Oryctolagus cuniculus: one gene and its partners. The protein of the gene in region 4 purifies or fractionates together with the protein of the main gene of each other region. This does not show direct contact. Links are inferred from orthologs where the notes say so. Each region holds a gene or a part of one and is shown on either strand. Other genes may lie near its edges.

Region 1 (4,829 bases), on a different chromosome or scaffold from region 4:
ATTGGTCATTCTGTTAAAAAGAAATGGGGGGTGGGGGATAATTTATTAGGCTCCTCAGCAAATCCTCTAGCGAGAGGTATTCTCCAGGTCAGGTAAAACTCACCTTGCGTAATTTATATCCGGCTTAAGCACCCGAGAAGTTTCCAGAGACTCATGTTCTTCTCCGGGGGGCAGAGGATGCAAACAGCTTCTAAGTAGCTTTCATGTTTCAGTACAGAAATATGTTTACCCCTGTAACACTGAGGTAGTTTTTAATATAGTATTTAGTTTTCTATTGGGCTTTTAAGGAAGTTATTTTTTTATCATAGCTGCTCAGGGATGAATCCAGGTTGGAAAGCCCACCCTAGCTCCACGTCACTAACACAGAAATAAGACCTGTCTGTCGAGCTGCAGGGGATGCTACACCTTAAACTTAGCGCTTTCACAGTGACACTGCACCATAGCCCCGAGCTACCCTTTCCCACCTCCTCTGAGCGGCTGTGTGCAAACAGTGTCCTCAAGCAGGCGGCGTGGGGCGTGGCTCAGGCGGCTGTCCTGCTTACATCATCACAGAGGGTGAAACGTGGGGTAGGGCACCTTTCCTTACAAGGGCGAGGACCCCAATCCCTGTCCTTGATAAAAAGCTTTCATGCTGCAAACCTGCTGACTGGGAAGGAGATGCCAGATGAGGACAAGGTTTTGCTCGGGGAGGGAAATTGCACTGTGATACCTAAATCCTCCGTCCACTACGGATGTGGCCATGCATCTCTGACACCAGTGCTTTAGCATAAGAGAAAGCACGGGCCCCGTGGGCGAGAATGTTATGTTGTATTTCATAAGAATATTGTAACCTGCAGAGAAATCCCGAGGGAGGGAAAAAATCAGGTTGGCTCAGGCGTACGTTGTATTTTGAGTCTTAAATAAAGCTATGAAAAGATCAACTCCTGTGTATATATATAATGCTCACATTCGCACCTGACTAGCAAGTGTCCATTGAGAACAAGTCTTGTACATGATGCATGTCCCTTCTTTCTTGTGTGTCCTTGCCCTTATTCACAGAAAGCTGTTTTGAAAATATTAAGTATTAGCCTTACGATTGCCACAAAGCTAGGGAGACATTTTCTTGGTACCTTCCACACCCTGGCGAGTGCAGAACCAGATGTTAGCCATGGCTTCTGGCTCCCGGCAAAATGACTTTGCCTGAGAACTTGGATGCAAGGCCGGAGGGAGCAGGTGAAGCCAGTCACGAGAGGTTAACCATGGGCACCGCGCCTCGCGCCTCTGGGTCTCACCTGGCTGCAGTGAGGGGAGTCAGCCAGGCAAGCGAGCAAAGCCAGGGCTTGATGCACACGAGAGAGCAGAGAAGGCCTGCGAGAGGTGTGCTGCCGTCGAGTGTGGAGGACGTGTGCAAGCCTGGCGCGCTCTGAGAATTAACCACAAAGCTCTGCGCACCAGACCCCAACACACTCCCGGGGCGGTCCAGGAATCCGGATTCGAGGCTGCACCGGCGGTCCCCGGCAGAGGGCGCCATCCGGCCCGCGGTGCCTTCGGTCTTTGGAGCGCCGGCGGCGGGAGACGCTTCCGGGCGAGGGCGGGCTTCCGGCGGCGGGAGGTCACTTGGGCGCTTTGGCCCGGGTCGTCCGTCGCCGCCGCACGTGTCTGACGCCGTCCGCGCGATGCTACCGCTGCTTCGCTGCGTGCCCCGCGCCCTGGGCCCCGCCGTCGCCGGCCTCCGCGCCGCGGCCCCGGCCCCGCCGCTCCGGCCGCTGCTGCTGCCCGCGCCCCGGCCTTGCGCCCGGCCGTTCGGGCTGCTCAGCGTGCGCGCGGGCTCGGTGCGGCGGCCCGGCCTCCTGCGGGCTCGCGAGCCCTGCTCCTGCGGCTGCGGCGCGCTGCACACGGAGGGTGAGGGGCTCGCGCGTGGCGTGGGGGACCTGATTCCCGACGGCGACTGACAGCACCGCTCCCCGGCTCCCCCGGCCCCGGGTGCGGTTTGGGGGGTGGGGTGCTGCGGCGCTCGTGACGGAATTGGCTTCTCCGGGCGAGCGGATGCAGCTGCCCGCTTCCAGGCCGGATAGCGTTGGGGAGGCGAGGCGGATGCCGGGCAGAGGGCGGCGGTCCCCGGGTCCCCGGGTCCCCGGGTCCCTGTCGGGTGCTTGGCGCTCCTTGACGTCTCCGCGATTCCTCCCCAGGAGATAAAGCCTTTGTGGATTTCCTTACCGACGAGATTAAGGAGGAGAAGAAAATCCAGAAGCATAAAGCCCTTCCCAAGATGTCTGGAGGCTGGGAGCTGGAGGTGAACGGCACAGAGGCTAAACTCGTGCGCAAAGTGGCCGGGGAGAAGTAAGTGCACGGCGCGCCCCGGGGTGCGCGGCGTGGGGCGGCCTCTGGCTCGGGACCCTAAGCTCGCTGGAGCCACATGTCAGCCACCCCGTGTGACTTCACAGCGGGACCCTTCCGCAGCCGCCCTGTCCCTTCTTCCCCCTCCGGCCCCTTGAAACCGCCAAGCTGCCTTCTCTGGATTTGCCTGTGTGGGACATTTTGTGTGAGTGGGAGTCATGCAATATGTGGCCATTTGTGTCTACCTCCCCCCCCCCCCCCAAGATTGATTTATTGGCTTGAAAGGTAGAGTTAGAGACGTCTTCCATCCACCCCAACAGCCAGAGCTGGGCCAAGCTGGAGCCAGGAGCCAGGCAGCAGGCACTTTTTCCATGTCCTCCCACGTGGGTGCAAGGGTCCAACACTTGGGCCAGCTTTTTTTTTTTTTTTTTTTAAGATTAATTTATTTGAGAGGCAGAGAGTAAGAGAATTACAGAGAGAAGGTTACAGAGAGGCGTCTGAGCAGGGAGCTGGATCCAAAGCAGAGCAGCCTATGGGTGCCAGCGTTGTAGGCAGCAGCTTAGCCAGCTGTGCCACAACACTGTCACCCCCGCACCCCCGTTGTTTTTGAGGTTCATTCATACTAGTAATAGCATGTACCAATAGTTAGCTTTTTTAATGACAACATAATATTTCATTATGTGGATATGCTAGATTTTATTTATGTAAGGAAATGGGAGACAGACCAGAGGAGACAAGATACGAAGTCAACGGCCAAAATCAATTAAGAAGAAAAATGGGAGCCAGCGCTGTGGCATAGCACGCTAAGCTGCCACCTGCGGTGCCTGCATCCCATATGGGTGCCGGTTCAAGTCTTGGCTGCTCCACTTCTGACCCAGCGCCCTGTTTCTGCTCCTGGGAAAGCAGCGGAAAATGGCTCAAGTGCTTGGGTCCCTGCACCCACATGGGAGGCCTGGAAGAAGTTCCTGGTTTCCATCTGGCCATTGTAGCCATTTGGGGAGTGAACCAGCAGATGGAAGATCTCTTTCTAACTCTGTCTTTCAAATACAATAAATAAATCATAAAGGAAAAAAAAAAAGACAAGTGAATTTGCAAAGATGGCCAACCACTGGCATGCGCACAGACAGAACACGTGGCCGAGAGAGCAGGAATTTATTTACGGGCTGGATTTAAATAGCATAGGCCTGATAAGGGCCATGAGGTGCAGTGGAGCTGAGCTAGCTTTTCTATGGAATGCAGAATGCAGAGGGTAGGGTGGGCAACAGTACAGGGCGTAGGACTGAGCTGGTCTCTTGAAGGAAGGTAAAGGGTCCCTCAGGCAAAGAGCCACAATGCCTGAGGCTCATGTCCTTGTTCTGTCAGTTATCCATTCATTTGTTGGCAGGCATTTGACAGGGTTCTATTTACTTTGTGATTCTGGTTTTTTATTTATTTATTTTTTTAATTTTATTTATCTGACAGATAGTTATAGACAGAGACAGAGAGAAAGGTTTTCCTTCCGTTGGTTCACCCCCCAAATGGCTGCTACGGCCGGCGCTGCGCCAGTCCGAAGGCAGGAGCCAGGTGCTTCTCCTGGTCTCCCATGGGGTGCAGGGCCCAAGCACTTGGGCCATCCTTCACTGCCTTCCCGGGCCACAGCAGAGAGCTGGCCTGGAAGAAGGGCAACTGGGACAGAATCTGGCGCCCCGACCGGGACTAGAACCCGGTGTGCCAGGCGCCGCAATGCAGAGGATTAGCCTATTGAGCCACAGCGCCGGCCTTTACTGTCGTTTTGAAAGACAGATAGCTCCCATGTGCTACTTCACTCCCTAAATATTGAAATGTCCAGGTATAGGCTACGCTGGAGCTGGGAGCTGAATCCAGGTTACCAGGTTATTGCCTTAAAGGTGGGCTTTAGATATTCTGGGTGCAGTTCCCCTTATCAGACACAGGGTGTGCAAGTGTTTTCTCCCATCCTTGGGTGTTTTTTTCCTTTCCCTATGTTATTGGTATTGACATACACTTTTTTTAGTTATTGTTTGACTACACCAAGTGAACTATTTTTTTAAAGATTTATTTATTTATTTGAAAGAGTTACGCAGTCACTCCCCAGTTGGCCACAACGACCAGAGCTGTGCCAATCCAAAACCAGGAGTCAGGAGCTTCTGCGTCTCCCACATGGGTGCAGGGGCCCAAGGACTTAAGCCATCTTCTATTGCTTTCCCAGGCCATAGCAGAGAGCCAGGTATGGAGTGGAGCAGCCGGGTCTCAAACTGGCGCCCATATGGGATGCCTGCACTGCAGGCCAGGGCGTTGACCCGCTGTGCCAAAGCACAGGCCCCAACATACACTTCTAATTTTGATGAAGCTCAATTTACTGGGTTTTGTTTTTTGTGTATGTGGGCTTTTTTTTTGTTTTTTTGTCATTTGTGCTTTTTTGACATCACATTTGACAAACTGTTGGGTAACCAAAGTTTCTAGATATTTATGCCCGGATTTACTTGTAAGAGGAGTTTAGCTCTTTAGGCCCGTGA
Region 2 (4,802 bases), on a different chromosome or scaffold from region 4:
CACGTTGTGGCTTAGCCCACATGGGCTGCGGTTAGGTCCCAGCTGCTGCGCTTCCAATCCAGCTCCCTGCTAATGCGCCTGGGAAAGCACCAGAAGATGGCTTAAATGCTTGGGCTCCTGCACCCACGTGGGAGATCCAGAAGAAGCTCCTGGCTGCCGGCTTCAGCCTTTGCGGCCATCTGGGGACTGAACCAGTGGTTGGAAGACACCCCCCCCCCCCGCAACTCTGCCTTTCAAATAAATAGGCCTTGTTTTTCAAAAAAACATACATGCAAACGAATGGGTGAAGAGTGCGCCTTAGGCCTCCGTTAGGAAAACGGATAAGGCACCGCCCTAGCAGTCAGGAGAGCCGGCTTGCGGGGGCCCCCGCGGACCTGGGACACGCCCTGCACTAATCCAGCCATCAGTGTGCCCATTACGTAGTTGACCTCTGAGGTCTGGAAGCGTATGGTACAATGAAAGGTGTTTGTCTCTAGCCACAGCACTTGAGCTGCGGCCAACGGGAAAAGGTAGCGGGAATCACAGACTAAAATCCCGAACTCGGCACCCGGGCCACCCGCTTCCTCCGGCCGACGTCACTGGGGCGCGACGGAGTCGTCTGGCGGGCAGCTGCGACCTGAGAATCCCTTCGGGGAAGGCGAATCGGGGCCAACAGAAAGCCAAACAGTCCCCGAGTCTCTTGAAAGCTCAGTTCTCAAAAAACCAACTCCTACCACCTTCCCTTTTGCTTCACTCTCAGCCAGCTTAGCAGCCGGCCGCGACCAGTCCCAGTCGCAGAGCCCCCAGCCCGACAGACAGCGCGCCTGCGCAGAGTACGCGCGCATCCTCGCGGGAGCCCCGGCGATTGGCTGTGACGTAACTTCCGGCGTGAGCGGCGAAAGCCGGGAGGGCGAGGGAGAGTGCGAGCAGGCAGCAGGCAGCAGGCGGGCAGGCGGACGGACCGCACGGAAGGAGGGAGCGAGCGAGCAGTGAGTGAGCTAGAGACGGCGGCCGGGTCCCGAGGGCAGCCGGAATTCCTCAGGTCCCCCTGGCCCCTCCCCGGAGCCCACAGCGCCTCCGGTCTCCAGCGGAGCGGACACGGCCCGGCCCGGCCATGGCCTCGTTGCTGAAGGTGGATCAGGAAGTGAAGCTCAAGGTAGCGGCACCGGTCCGGGCCTTCTCACCCCTCGCTTCTGTCCCCCAGCCGTCTGACCGCCTCCCTACTCCCCGTGGTGTCTTTGTCTCCCTGGGGACACCGGCTCGGAGCTTCCGCCCGGCTCAGCCCAGCCCCCCACGCCCGGAGACGGCCTTAGGGGGAAGGGTATTACAGAGAGGCCTTCCGTCCCCGCGTCTGGTGATGGAGAACCCGGGGAGACCTCTGCAGGCACGTGTTGGAGTCATTGCTTTCGGCCGGTGACAGCTGGGAGTCCCCCAGCCCAGCGACGCCCCCGCCCCGGGGGCGCTGCCCCTGCCCTTGGCGGCTGGCCCGCTTCCTGTCATAGGCCAGGTGTGAGGTGGGCTAGGCACGTTTGTGATCTCACATCCCCGCATCTCCCTGTCTTTGTCAAATTCAGACAGCTTCAGACGCAGGGAGGGAGGGGAGAGGAGACAGGCGGGTGCTGTCTCCGAGCCCCGCTTTCCTCTCCTGAGATGGAGAAATGGATCCTCAAAAAAATAAAGTATTTGCAGTCTGGGGGCCTCTCAGCTTCTCATTACAATCGCCAGGTGAGGGGCAGAGAGCTGGGTTTGGGATTCCCCATCCTGTCCTTACCTCTGTTGCCAGGTACTGAATTGCTCTTCCTGAATTGCTGTCTTTGTTCTTTTTAGGTTGATTCTTTCAGGGAGCGGATCACAAGTGAGGTGAGTGAAATGGAGAAATGCGTATTGATTAGGAGTTGGGAGTTTCCCCAAGAGGAGGTGATTGCAGAGGGAGCCCTTCCCTCTGTCATTAATTCAGTTGTATTTTCCCTTATCTAGGCAGAAGACTTGGTGGCAAATTTTTTCCCAAAGAAGTTGTTAGAACTTGATAGTTTTTTGAAGGTGAGAGACACTTTGCTTACTTCAGTTCCCCAGCGTCTTCAGGCCTGCCCTTTCTGTCAGATGGAACCAGTTGTGTGCTGACTCTGTTTTGTTTTGTGCTGTAAAGCACTCTCACGGCTTGCCCTTCCAGTGAAATGGTTCTTTGTTCAGCTTGAAAAGACCAATGTTTTGAGGGTGGGCCTGTCTCTTTCAGGAACCAATCCTAAACATCCATGACCTAACTCAGATCCACTCGGACATGAATCTCCCGGTCCCTGACCCCATTCTGCTCACCAATAGCCACGATGGACTGGATGGTGTAAGTGGCCCGTGTTTATCTTTGTGTTCTGAAGCAATAGGTTCTCTGTTTTCTAGTTCCTGGGGAGCTGGAACATACGTCGGGGGATGGTGGCATTGGGGTCTGGCATGATGGCTCCAGGATACTTTCAGACCCTGATGTGCATGTCTAAAACGAGGTGAATGCGCCCCAGGGAGTCTCAGTGCACTAACCTGGCCACAGGCCCCCGTCGCTTCCCAGGCTGAACAGGCTCCTCTTGCCTCCGCTTCACGGCCTTGAGTCTCGTGGCTGAGGCGCTTGCCGTGGAGTCGCAGACCCTGCCTTTTCCGTGCAGTCACCATCTGCGTCCTCTTAGCACACCGATGACGCTTTGTTCTTTGTCAGCGTCTCCTCGGTAGAACTTGCACGTCTGCAGGCGGGAACTGTCTTCATTGTCCTCGTGTCCTCGGCACCTAGCTTTGTTCCCAGTGCCCAGCGATTGCTGAATTCTTGTTAACTGAATATGGTGTTCCCTCATGGAACCAGCAAGTTTGTACATATCCCCTTAATTATCCTCACCGTGCCTCGATTGGTTCCTTTTTCCTGCTCTTTATAGTGTCCTCCCTTTCCCCCAGTTGCTTAAAGTGTTGTGTTTCTTGCAAGGTTGTTGCTTGGTGGCAAGAACATTTCTTCAGGCTTTATATGTACTTGGGAAATTATGCAGAAAAGAACAGGACAACCTACAGGGTCAAGGAACAGTTGACTTGCTTGAAGGGTGTCTTGTGGGTGTGTACGGCAGGCTGATTCCTGCCTCTTTGTGTCCTTAGCCCACTTACAAGAAGCGAAGATTGGATGAGTGTGACGAGGCCTTCCAAGGTAAGAGCCACCCCGGTGCCCCCTGACCTCCCCCTGACCGCCTGACCGCTTGCCCTGGGAAGTAGGATGGATCTGGCGTTCCCTCAGCCCAGAAGCAAGACCTGCTTTCCCAGAGCCAGTGTTCCCAAGTCCCCCGGACAGGGGCGTCATTTAGCATTGACCTCGTGTGGGCCGCTGAGGGGGAGTGGTTGGAGCAGCAGCCCACACAGCTCGCGCGGGTCAGAGAAGCCCCAGTGCCATGTTACTTATTTCCTTCTCAGCAGTAGTTGTTGATGTGTTCCGTCTTTAAGGTGTTTATTTATTTTTAAAGATTTATTTTATTTATCTTTAAAGATTTACTTTGTTTATTTGAAAGGCAGAATTAGAGATCTGTCCTCTGGAACAGACACAATGGCTGGGGCTTGGCTAGGCCGAAGCCAGGAGCTTCTTCCAGGTCTTTTACGTGGGGCAGGGGCCCAAGCACTTGGGTCATCTTCTGTTGCTTTTTTAGCAGGGAGCTGGGTTGGAAGTGGAGCAGCGAGGACTGAAACCAGTGCCCATATGGGATGCTGCTGTTGGCTTAACCTGCTGTGCCACAGTGCTGGCCCCATTTTAACGTTCTTGTTCTTAGACTTCGGGCATACTTTGGATGCTTATCTACTGAGCTGTGCATCTCTGATTCTGTCAGTGGTGCCGTGGTAGGACTGTGACAGATGAAGGGCAGCGGTCAGAGCCCTCACTGGCCTGGGAAGGAGAGTGGAAGATGCCCCGGCCTCCCTCCTGCCTAATCATTCGACCTTCCCATCCCTGCCAGGAACCAAGGTGTTTGTGATGCCCAATGGGATGCTAAAAAGCAACCAGCAGCTGGTCGACATTATTGAGAAAGTGAAACCTGAGATCCGGCTGCTGATCGAGAAATGTAACACGGTGAGGCAGGGGCTAGTGACCCGTGGGCTCACTGCGGGTAGCCCCACTGACACCATGAGACTGGTGGGTGAGGGGCTGGGGGCGTGGCGCTGGGGTGGGCTGCTGGCACAGTAGCTGTCTTAACTCGTGGATTCCTAGCATCTGGCCACAGCAGTACCAGCTGGGTACTTCGTGGCTTCAGCAGAAAAGCCCAGCATCTTCATATATGTGTTTTGGGCTCTCACCCTCCAGGTGAAAATGTGGGTACAGCTCCTGATTCCCCGGATAGAAGATGGGAACAACTTTGGAGTGTCCATTCAGGTAGCGTGCCTGCCTTCCAAACTGAGGAGAAAGGTTGGGTGATACGCTCGTCCCTCCCGCTTTTTCTGCTTTTCCCTTCTCTTTGGGGCGGCTCGGGGTGGTGTGGAAGTGGCTTTTGATTTACCAGGTTTTGGGGTTTTTGTTTTTCAGGAGGAGACAGTTGCAGAACTAAGAACCGTTGAGAGTGAAGCTGCATCTTATCTGGACCAGATTTCTAGGTAGGCCTGCCTGGGCGTGGCCCAGGAATTAGGGGCTGGTGAGCTGCCAGGCACCCTCTGGGGCCTCCTGCAGCTTCCTCCTATTCTCTCTCCTTTCAGATATTATATTACAAGAGCCAAATTGGTTTCTAAAATAGCTAAATATCCCCATGTGGTAAGTAAGGGTGTGTGGCCGAGGGTGGAGGTGGCAGGCTCGGGGAGTGCCTGTGGCTGGGAGGGCCGGCCGT
Region 3 (4,106 bases), on a different chromosome or scaffold from region 4:
AGCTCTCTGCTATGGCCTGGGAAAGCAGTAGAAGATGGCACAAGTGCTTGGGCCCTTGCACCCACGTGGGAGACTTGGAAGAAGCTCCTGGCTCCTGGCTTCGGATCAGCACAGCTCCGGCCATTGCGGTCGTTTGGGGAGTGAACCAGCGGATGGAAGACTTGTCTCTCTGTCTCTCCCTCTCTCTCTCTCTGTAATTGTCTCTCAAATAAAATCCTTTAAAATAAAAGTTTAAAAAAAAGTGACCTCGGTACTTGTCTTGCTCAGAATCTTTGAATGACTTCCTTTCCCAGTCATTACCATGTCATCGCCAAGATGATGTATGATCTGTGTTTTTCTGCCCCTCTCTAACCTTATTCCTTATCACTCCTTTTTCAGCCACATTAGTCTCTTTAAGACTTTCTCTGTGCAGAACAGTACCTTCTTCTATTTGCTTTTAGTTTTTGTTTATATGTATTTCACTTCTGGGCTTATCTTTTCCCAGCAGATTGTAAGCTTCACAGGGGCGGAGATACTGTTTTGTGCACTGTTATGTCCGCAGCCTAGGATGGTACTTGGCATGTAGGAAGTGGTACTGAATAATTATTCAATAAATTAAGTAGTTTCTTAAGTGTTATGACTCAAGAAAACTCTAGATCATGTAGCAAAATCTGTTGAGTAGAATAAAGGATCTAGTTAAAGGGCTACATTAGGGAGAAAAAAATTACCCCCCATTAATCTATGCTATCTGGTAATTGTACAAATTGATAATCTTTCAGTTTTTTTAAATGCATGTATCTCCGAGATACAGTTTTCATATACTAAAATTTCACTCTTTTAAAGTGTACCATTCAGTGATTTCTAAAATATATTTATAAAGCTAACCACCATTGCCCCTAATTGCAGATCATCTCGTCTTAGAAATTCCACACCCAAATGCAGTCATAATATGTTATCCTGTGTGTCTGGCTGCTTTTACTTAGTATGTTTTCAAGGTTTATCCGTGTTGCAGCATATGTCAGCATTTCTTTCTATGGATGAGTACTTTTCCATTATTGTGGATATAGCACTTTATCTATTTGAGAGGCAGAGAGAGAGAGAGAGAGCAAGCTTCTTTCTGCTAGTTTACTCCCCCAGATGCCTGCAGCAGCCTGGGGACTGAGGCTTGGAGCCAGAAGCTTATTCCAGGTTTCCTGGAACACAACAGGTGGCAGGAACACAACTACTTGAGCCATCACCACTGCCCCTCAAGGTCTGCATTAGCAGAAAACTGGAATCAGGATTAGGAGCTTGGAGGTGAGCCTAGGCAGATGGAGCAGTTTAAAAAAAAAACAAAAACAACTCTGCTTGTTTATGGACATTTGGGCCGTTTGACTTTTGGTGATTAAGTAAAATGCCACTGTGAATATTTGTGTTCCAACTTTGACCATGTATTTTTATTCTGTTGAGTATATACCTGGGAATAGAATTACTGGATTGTATGATGAACTATAGCATCTTTCCATTGTGGCAAAAAAGTGGAAACACTCCAGATGCCCATGAATTGATGGATGGGTTTTTTAATCTTGTAGCTCTGCAATGAAATTTTACTCTGTCAGAAGAAGAAATGCAGTGGTAACAACATGGATAGTACGTGAATACATGCTAAGTGAAAGAAACTGGTCATAAAGGACCACGTAGTGTGTAATTCTGTTCACGTGCAGTGTATGGAACAGGCAAATCCCGAGAGAAAGACTGGGGGAGCTCCCATCCATTTGTTCATTCCACAAATGCACAGTGGCCCTCTTCTGGGGCTGAGACTGGAAACTGAATTCAGGTCTCCCATTTGCATGGTGACTTAGGTCACTTAGGTCATCATCACTGCCTTCCAGGATCTGTGTACATGAGCAGGAAGCTGGAGTCAGGAACTAGAGATGGGTCTCAAACCCAAGTACTCTGATAAGGAATGTGGGCATCTTGACCACTAGGCTAAACACTTGTCCCAAATTAGACATTCTGACTGACTTTTATAATAATTTATGAAAATATTTTATAGAAAATGAAGTGAATTTTATAGCTTTAAGAAATATTTTCAGGAGCTGGTATTGTGGTACAGTGGGTTAAGCATCCACTTCAGATGCAGGCATTTGTAATAAGCACCAGTTTGAGTCCCAGCTGCTCTGATTCCCACCCAGCCCCATGCTAATGCACCTGGGAAAACAGCAGAAGATGGCCTGAGTACCTGGGCCCCTGCCACCCATGTGGGAGTGCTGGATGGAATTCTAGGCTCTTGGCTTGAGTCCGGCCCAGCTCTAGCCATTGCAATCATTTAGGGGAGTGAAACAGTGGATGGAAACTATTTCTCTCCTCTCTGTCTGTCTCTCTCTCTGTCTCTGTCTCCATCTCCCCTCTTCCCCCTCCCTCTCTCACACTCCCTCCATAACTCTCTTTATCTGTAACTCTGCATTTCTAATAAATATTAAAAAATTTTTTCAGTTTTTTTTTTAAATTAGGTAAAAGTAAATTCAGACCATTTCCTTTTCAATAAATGTAATGTGTAATATTGGGCTGATGTTGTGGCTCAACAGGTTAAGCCACTGCTAGTGACAGCTGCATCTGTTATGAGTGTCAGTTTGAGTCCCAGCTACTCTGCTTCCAATCCAGCTTCTTGCCAGTGTGTCTGGAAAGGCAGTGGAAGATGGCCCAAGTACTTGGGCCCCCACAGCACATGTACAAGACCAGGATGGGGTTCGTGGTTCCCAACTTCAGCCTGGCCCAGCCTTGCTTTAGGGATCATTTGGGGAGTAAACCAGCAGATGAAAGCTCTGTCTCTCTCTATATGCCTTTCCTCCTTATCTGTTGCTCTACTTTTCAAATAAATCCTTTTTAAAGATAGCTGTAATATTAATCCCTCCTCACTTTCTGCCCTCACCCCTTTAAACATCTTTTAGGTTTGCCCTCGTTGGTGTTGGATCTGAAGCATCTTCAAAAAAGTTAATGGATTTGTTGCCTAAAAGAGAACTTCATGGTCAGAATCCTGTTGTAACTCCATGCAATAAACAGTTCCTGAGTCAATTTGAAATGCAGTCCAGGAAAAGTAAGCAATTCCCCCCAGAGGCTTTTATTCAAATATGTTCATTTTAACCAGTTAGTAGCATGTATTAGATGTTATTAGGGAAATCATTGTAATAGTTCATTGGGGAATCACCCCAGAAAAGGTCCTGTTTTAATTTAACCACTGATTATGATTGTGGGCCCATGTACAGAGAACCAGCTCCGTTCCATTTTCTTCCTGATGTCACAGACCTGCTACTATGCAACAGTGTTCATGTTCAATAGTGCTGCCATTCTTGTCCTGTCATTCTCATCTCAGAGAAAAGATCTAGATTCTAATTCTTAGATTGGAAGAAAGCTATATGGATGTGTGTTATGGTGTGGGAGACCACTGATAACCAGAAAATATTTGTTGATTTTCTGCTTGGCACCAAGACCTTTCACCACTTGGTAAAGTGAGTGTAGAGAAGACTTGCATTGCACACACCAAATATTATCATTGAAAGCAATAAGATGGATGACCCTGCAATTCACAGAGATTCAAGTGGTTGTTTTTCTTTTAGTGTTTTAGCACTTAAGACATAACTGAAGAATATGTTACAAATTTTAAATGATCTCTTTGCTACTGAAATTAAGATTTCTGTTGAAGAATTTCAGTCTTGGCTGCTGCAGAGTACTGGTATTTTGAAAGTGATTCATTTAATCATTGGAAATATATTTAAACTGGTATTTTGAGACTTAAATAGATGTGATTGTTTTCCTAACCAATACTTTTTATGTAGCTTGCACAGGCCCAAGGCATCTGAAAGTTAATATATAGCGTAAATGGACTTTGAGGTAGAATTGTTTCTAGTAGCAGTGGTTACATTTCAAAAAGCTGTTCTAATAAGTGCTATTTATGAGTATTTGGATATTTGCAGCTACACAATCAGGACAAATGTCTGGGGAAGGTAAAGCTGGTCCTCCAGGAGGCAGTTCACGTGCAGCATTTCCACAAGGTGGTAGAGGACGGGGCCGTTTTCCAGGGGCTGTTCCCGGTGGGGACAGATTTCCTGGGCCAGCAGGACCAGGAGGGCCACCCCCTCCTTTTCCAG
Region 4 (4,592 bases):
AATAAAGCAGGTAAACTATACTGTATGCTGAATATAGATGTGCAGGAAAACAACGCTGCAAATGAAAGCTACAGACAAACACCCTGAAGGCTAGAGTTAAGACCGGAATTGTAAAAAACTTAATAAAAATCACCAATGTCCCAGCTACCATATATTGATGTTGTCGTGAAATGACTAACACCATGTCTACTGAAGGTAAAGCTCATTAACTTCCCATTCTCACAGGTGCGATCCTGTCTAGAAGGTCACGACTGCTAATTTTAGGGAATTATGTATGGGTAGACATCCCAAGAGAGACAGTCTAAGGTAAATCAAAACGGCTAATGAAACCCCTCTGGCAGCAGCTTTCTCAAGAGTCTGTTCGTGTAAACGAGAGTGCTTACCTCAGCCTTCGCGCCATCATCTGACACGGCCGCCCCACGGCTTGTTTCTCTGGCTACTAAAACCGCTCTGAGACTAGCCGGCAGCTCAAAGTTGGTCGTTCCTAAAGCTTTCGCTGCATTGGCTTTTGCTATTTCTAACAGCTCCATTCGATCTATTAAACAAACAAAAAGACACATTCATTATTATTAATCCTGTAGTTTTTCCCAAAAATGTGCTTGTTTTACTTAAAACAGCTATATCCAGATGTGTAAAAGCCGTGTTTATTTGCCACAGGCACAGTGAAACCCTAGTTTCAGTTCTTCTGACAACCACCTTGTTATTTTCTCTTCAAATAGTTATTTCTGAACCTAGGAGTTTTTAACAGACCTTTGATATCAACTTCTTGATCAATACTACTACTACTAAAGCCCACATTCACACTTCCGTAAGTTTGTTACCTAATTTTTTCCTATTCCACAATCCCACCTACCACATCAGAAGTCATGTTACAAAATACTAGACAATTCAACTTTGTTTACTACTGACACTTTAAAAAATGTGTTTTGGTATTACTCCAATTCAATAAATATTTAAGGGGCAGGTATCTGGGAACCAGTTTTAAAAAAATCCTTGGTACTTTCCTCCCCAATTCAACAGTTCATTTAAGGGATAGATATTTGGGGAGCAGCTAAAAAATGTTCTTTAAAGATCATTTATTTGAAAGGCACAGTTAGAGAGAGGAAGAGGGGGAGGGAGGTAGGGAGAGGTCGTCCATCTACTGGTTCACTCCCCAGATGTCTGCAACAGCCAGAGCTGAGCTGATCATAGCCGGGAGCTTCTTCCTGGTCTCCAATGCGGGTCCAAGGGCCAAAGGACTTGAGCCATCCTCTACCGCTTTCCCAGACCAAAGCAGAGAGCTGGGTTGGAGGCAGCACAGCCAAAACTCAAACCAGCGCCCATATGGGATGCCGGTACAACAAGCAGCAGCTTTACACACTATGCCACAGCAGCTAAAATTTTAAGCAGTTGGGACACCCCCATCACATGTCAGAGCACCCAAGTTCAAGTTCTTCCAGCTCCCTGCTGAGGAGGAAGCAGGAGGGGTCCCTGACACCCATGGAGGAGACTGGGTTCTGGGCTCCAGTCTGTGGCCCCGCCCCACCCTGGCTGTTGTAAGCATCTGGGCAGTGAGGCAGCAGATGGAAAAGTTGTCTGCCTGCAAAAATAAGAAAATTTCTGGTAGTTACTTTAGTAGCAACTTAGAATAGGTAAGCACATCATTCCCATTTAAAAGACTATGCCTGGGCCGGCGCTGTGGTGCAGCGGGACAACGCCCTGGCCTGCAGTGCTGGAATCCCATGTGGGCACTGGTTCGAGTCCCGGCTGCTCCACTTCCGACCCAGCTCTCTGCTATGGCCTGGGAAAGCAGAAGAAGATGGCCCAAGTCCTTGGGCCCCTGCACCTGCGTGGCAGACCAGAAGAAGCTCCTGGTTTGGATCGGTGCAGCTCCAGCCATTGTGGTAACTGGGGAGTGAATCATCGGATGAAGACCTCTCTCTGCCTCTCCTCTCTCTGTGTAACTCTTTCAAATAATAAAAACTTTCTTCTTTTTTAAAGAAAAAGACCAGGACGAGAGCAAACAGCCTGGAGAAAGCGTCTCCTCCACCCGAAGCATCAACCCCCACCGCATCCAAGGGCACCGCTCTCAGCCGCACTCCAGCCCGCGTGCTCCCTCCCCACCAGCACCCAGGCTTCCCCGCAGCACCGCGAGCGGCGGAGACCCCCAGACCCCGTCCCTCCCGGACCGACACCCACCTTTCTCGCTCAGCCGGAAGGGGGTCCTGCTGCGGGACCTCGTGCGGGACCGGGCCCGGCGCCGGCCGCGCTGCTCCGGGTACACCGTGCGCCCGAAGCCGTAGTGGCGGCGCCCGCGCGGCGACCTCCGGGAGCGCGAGCGGCTGCGGGAGCGGCCCCGCCGCGGAGACCCGGGGCGCCTGCGGGGCGATGCCCGGCGCCTGTCCCCGCGCCGGCGGCTGCGCGACCACGAGCGGCTGCGCGAGTAGGAGCGCGAGTAGCGCCGGTACTTCCGCTGGTGGCGCCTCCGGGAGCGGGACCGGGAGCGGGAGCGGCTCCGGCCCGGCGACGACGACCGGCTCGAGCGGCGGGAGGCCGGGCGAGAGCTGCCGGAGGACGAGCGGCTGGAGCGGCCCGAGCTGGCCGGCGAGCCCTTGTCCTGCGGCGAGCCGGGCCACAGCGCGCTCACGTAGCCGGACATCTCGCCCCCGCGGTCTGAAGAGCAGAGTCCTTCCCGGAAACTCAAGCCTGGCGGGGAACGAGAAACAGGAAAACAACTCAGCGCCCGGAAGTGGGGGCGGGGCCGGGCGCCCGCCCCGGAAGCAGCCGAGCCCCGAGGCCTCGCTAGGCCCCACGGCGCTACCGCGAAACGCCGCCCCCCCACCCGACGGAACTGCGGGAAACTTACGGCCGGCGGTCGCCGCCTCCCTCAGGGCCGGAAGAAAGGCTAAGGCCAGCCTTTCTTTCGAAGGTCGGGACGAAGCTGCGCTTTTAGCGCCTACTCCCAAAAACGCGGCAAACTACCACAGCGAAGTCCTGACGCCAACTGAGCCGGACGTCCCCCAGGCGCGACTAAAGTACCAGAAACCCGAGGCCGCGCATGCGCACAGACGTTAGCGCGGTGGGCGTGGCTCGCCTCTAACCCAACCGCCGCCTTCCCCTCCCTTTTTCCCGCCCACCGCCTCGCCTCCGAGATACGCATGCGTCAGCGCGTCCCGGGCACCGCGCCAGTATTTCAGGGTGTTGCGGAGGAATGTTCCTGGGTTGTTCTGATTTGAGGCCATTGTGGGCTCCATCAGGCTCGATCTAGACTTGGGGGCGCCGTGTGGCGCGGCGTGACGCCCAGGGCAGATGCGGGCCCGAGTGCCTGGCGGGGGATGGCACGAGGGGAGACCCTGCCGCCGGCTGCCGATGGCGGCACCCTCCGGGCGGCTGTAGGCCTGGGCTGTGCCCTGGACGCTCTCCTGGCCCCCGGCCCCCGGCCCCCGGGGCTGCAGGAGGCGGCGGCCGCGGCTAGACCCCGCGACATCACAGGGTTCATGCAAGTGCAGTGTTGTCTCTGAAAGTTTCACGTGTTAGCTGGTAGAGGTAACTCAGAGACAAAATGCAGGGACCCCATAATTGGCCTTTAAGGGGTTAGGTTGATGTGGGGGATTAAATAATGGCGATTTGCTTGTTTTCAGGATTATACAAATAGGGTACATTCCAGGTGTTACCGGTGAATGGCAGCGTTCTTCTCGCAAGAAAGAATTCAGGCCTGAGGCAGAGTAGTGGGAGGTAAAATAGCAAGGTTTATTAGGGAAGTGACATCCGTGAGAACGGATGGGCACCTCTCCAGACAATCAGAGAGAGTGCCCAGTCGCTCGGACTGGGGAAGAGCGAGGTTGCATGGTTGAGTGGAGAGAGTACAGGCGGGCGGCTCAGCAGAGGGCAGAGGGCTGAGCGCGCAGTTGAGGCCGGGGGATTTTAAGGCCATGGGTCTTGCTTCCCCACCTCTGCTCCTCTTGGAACAAAGGACTTTTTGGATATAAATAGAAAAACTCTAATCTGAGTTTTCCCCCTGAAGTTATCAGACAGGGGGAAGCCTGCCTGGGGTCGCCCGCCTGAGAGGAGCCTTAGAGGAAGGATGGTTATGGGGTAGAAGGGGCTGGGCTGCACCTGGAAGATTGTCAGGCAGAAGGGTCGGGGACCCCCACCAGGCAGGTTGTTGGGTAGAAGGAGCAGGGCAGGATGCAGGTACTGGGCTGCCCCTGGAAGGTTATCGGGATGACTTTGAGATGCATATGCTGGACCCAAATGTCTCCTTAGGCCTTTGTCACACACACACATAAGCTCATATCTGACTTCTGCCTAACACAGGCATTGTAATGAAACTTGAAAAATGTGAATCAACTGCTGGCTGAACTCGCTTCTGTGAGGAGAGCAAGTGTGTTTTTTTTTTTTTTTTTAAAAAAAAGATTGATTGATTGATTTGAAAGGGTTACAGAGAGAGAGAGAAAGTCTTCTCTCCACTGGTTCACTCCCCAGTTGGCTGCAAAGGCTGGAGCTGCGCTGATCAAAGCCAGAGCCAGGAGCTTCTTCCAGGTCTCCCATGCAGGTGCAGGGGCCCAAGGACTGGGGCCATCTTCCACTGCTTTCCCAGGCCATAGCAGAGA

Evidence for each region.
Region 1: the proteins of RSRP1 (region 4) and C1QBP purify together in Homo sapiens (affinity purification with mass spectrometry; 3 studies listed by BioGRID and IntAct, counting the BioPlex papers as one, with this or other methods). This does not show direct contact. The link is inferred for Oryctolagus cuniculus from reciprocal best matches to the Homo sapiens genes RSRP1 and C1QBP.
Region 2: the proteins of RSRP1 (region 4) and PSME3 purify together in Homo sapiens (affinity purification with mass spectrometry; 3 studies listed by BioGRID and IntAct, counting the BioPlex papers as one, with this or other methods). This does not show direct contact. The link is inferred for Oryctolagus cuniculus from reciprocal best matches to the Homo sapiens genes RSRP1 and PSME3.
Region 3: the proteins of RSRP1 (region 4) and CPSF6 purify together in Homo sapiens (affinity purification with mass spectrometry; 3 studies listed by BioGRID and IntAct, with this or other methods). This does not show direct contact. The link is inferred for Oryctolagus cuniculus from reciprocal best matches to the Homo sapiens genes RSRP1 and CPSF6.

Annotation. Positions count from the first base shown.
Region 1 is NC_091448.1:50,895,893-50,900,721, forward strand, and holds the start of C1QBP (complement component 1 Q subcomponent-binding protein, mitochondrial), read left to right. Parts: upstream 1-1,567; 5' UTR 1,568-1,655; coding exon 1,656-1,881; intron 1,882-2,168; coding exon 2,169-2,319; intron 2,320-4,829.
Region 2 is NC_091448.1:20,081,352-20,086,153, reverse strand, and holds the start of PSME3 (proteasome activator complex subunit 3), read left to right. Parts: upstream 1-1,558; 5' UTR 1,559-1,629; coding exon 1,630-1,704; intron 1,705-1,806; coding exon 1,807-1,839; intron 1,840-1,956; coding exon 1,957-2,019; intron 2,020-2,212; coding exon 2,213-2,317; intron 2,318-3,102; coding exon 3,103-3,151; intron 3,152-3,944; coding exon 3,945-4,057; intron 4,058-4,288; coding exon 4,289-4,357; intron 4,358-4,507; coding exon 4,508-4,575; intron 4,576-4,674; coding exon 4,675-4,729; intron 4,730-4,802. UniProt on the Homo sapiens protein: Subunit of the 11S REG-gamma (also called PA28-gamma) proteasome regulator, a doughnut-shaped homoheptamer which associates with the proteasome. 11S REG-gamma activates the trypsin-like catalytic subunit of the proteasome but inhibits the chymotrypsin-like and postglutamyl-preferring (PGPH) subunits.
Region 3 is NC_091442.1:71,570,255-71,574,360, forward strand, and holds part of CPSF6 (cleavage and polyadenylation specificity factor subunit 6), read left to right. Parts: intron 1-2,909; coding exon 2,910-3,055; intron 3,056-3,932; coding exon 3,933-4,106. UniProt on the Homo sapiens protein: Component of the cleavage factor Im (CFIm) complex that functions as an activator of the pre-mRNA 3'-end cleavage and polyadenylation processing required for the maturation of pre-mRNA into functional mRNAs.
Region 4 is NC_091438.1:146,019,952-146,024,543, reverse strand, and holds the start of RSRP1 (arginine/serine-rich protein 1), read right to left. Parts: upstream 3,013-4,592; 5' UTR 2,846-3,012; intron 2,686-2,845; 5' UTR 2,639-2,685; coding exon 2,179-2,638; intron 536-2,178; coding exon 384-535; intron 1-383.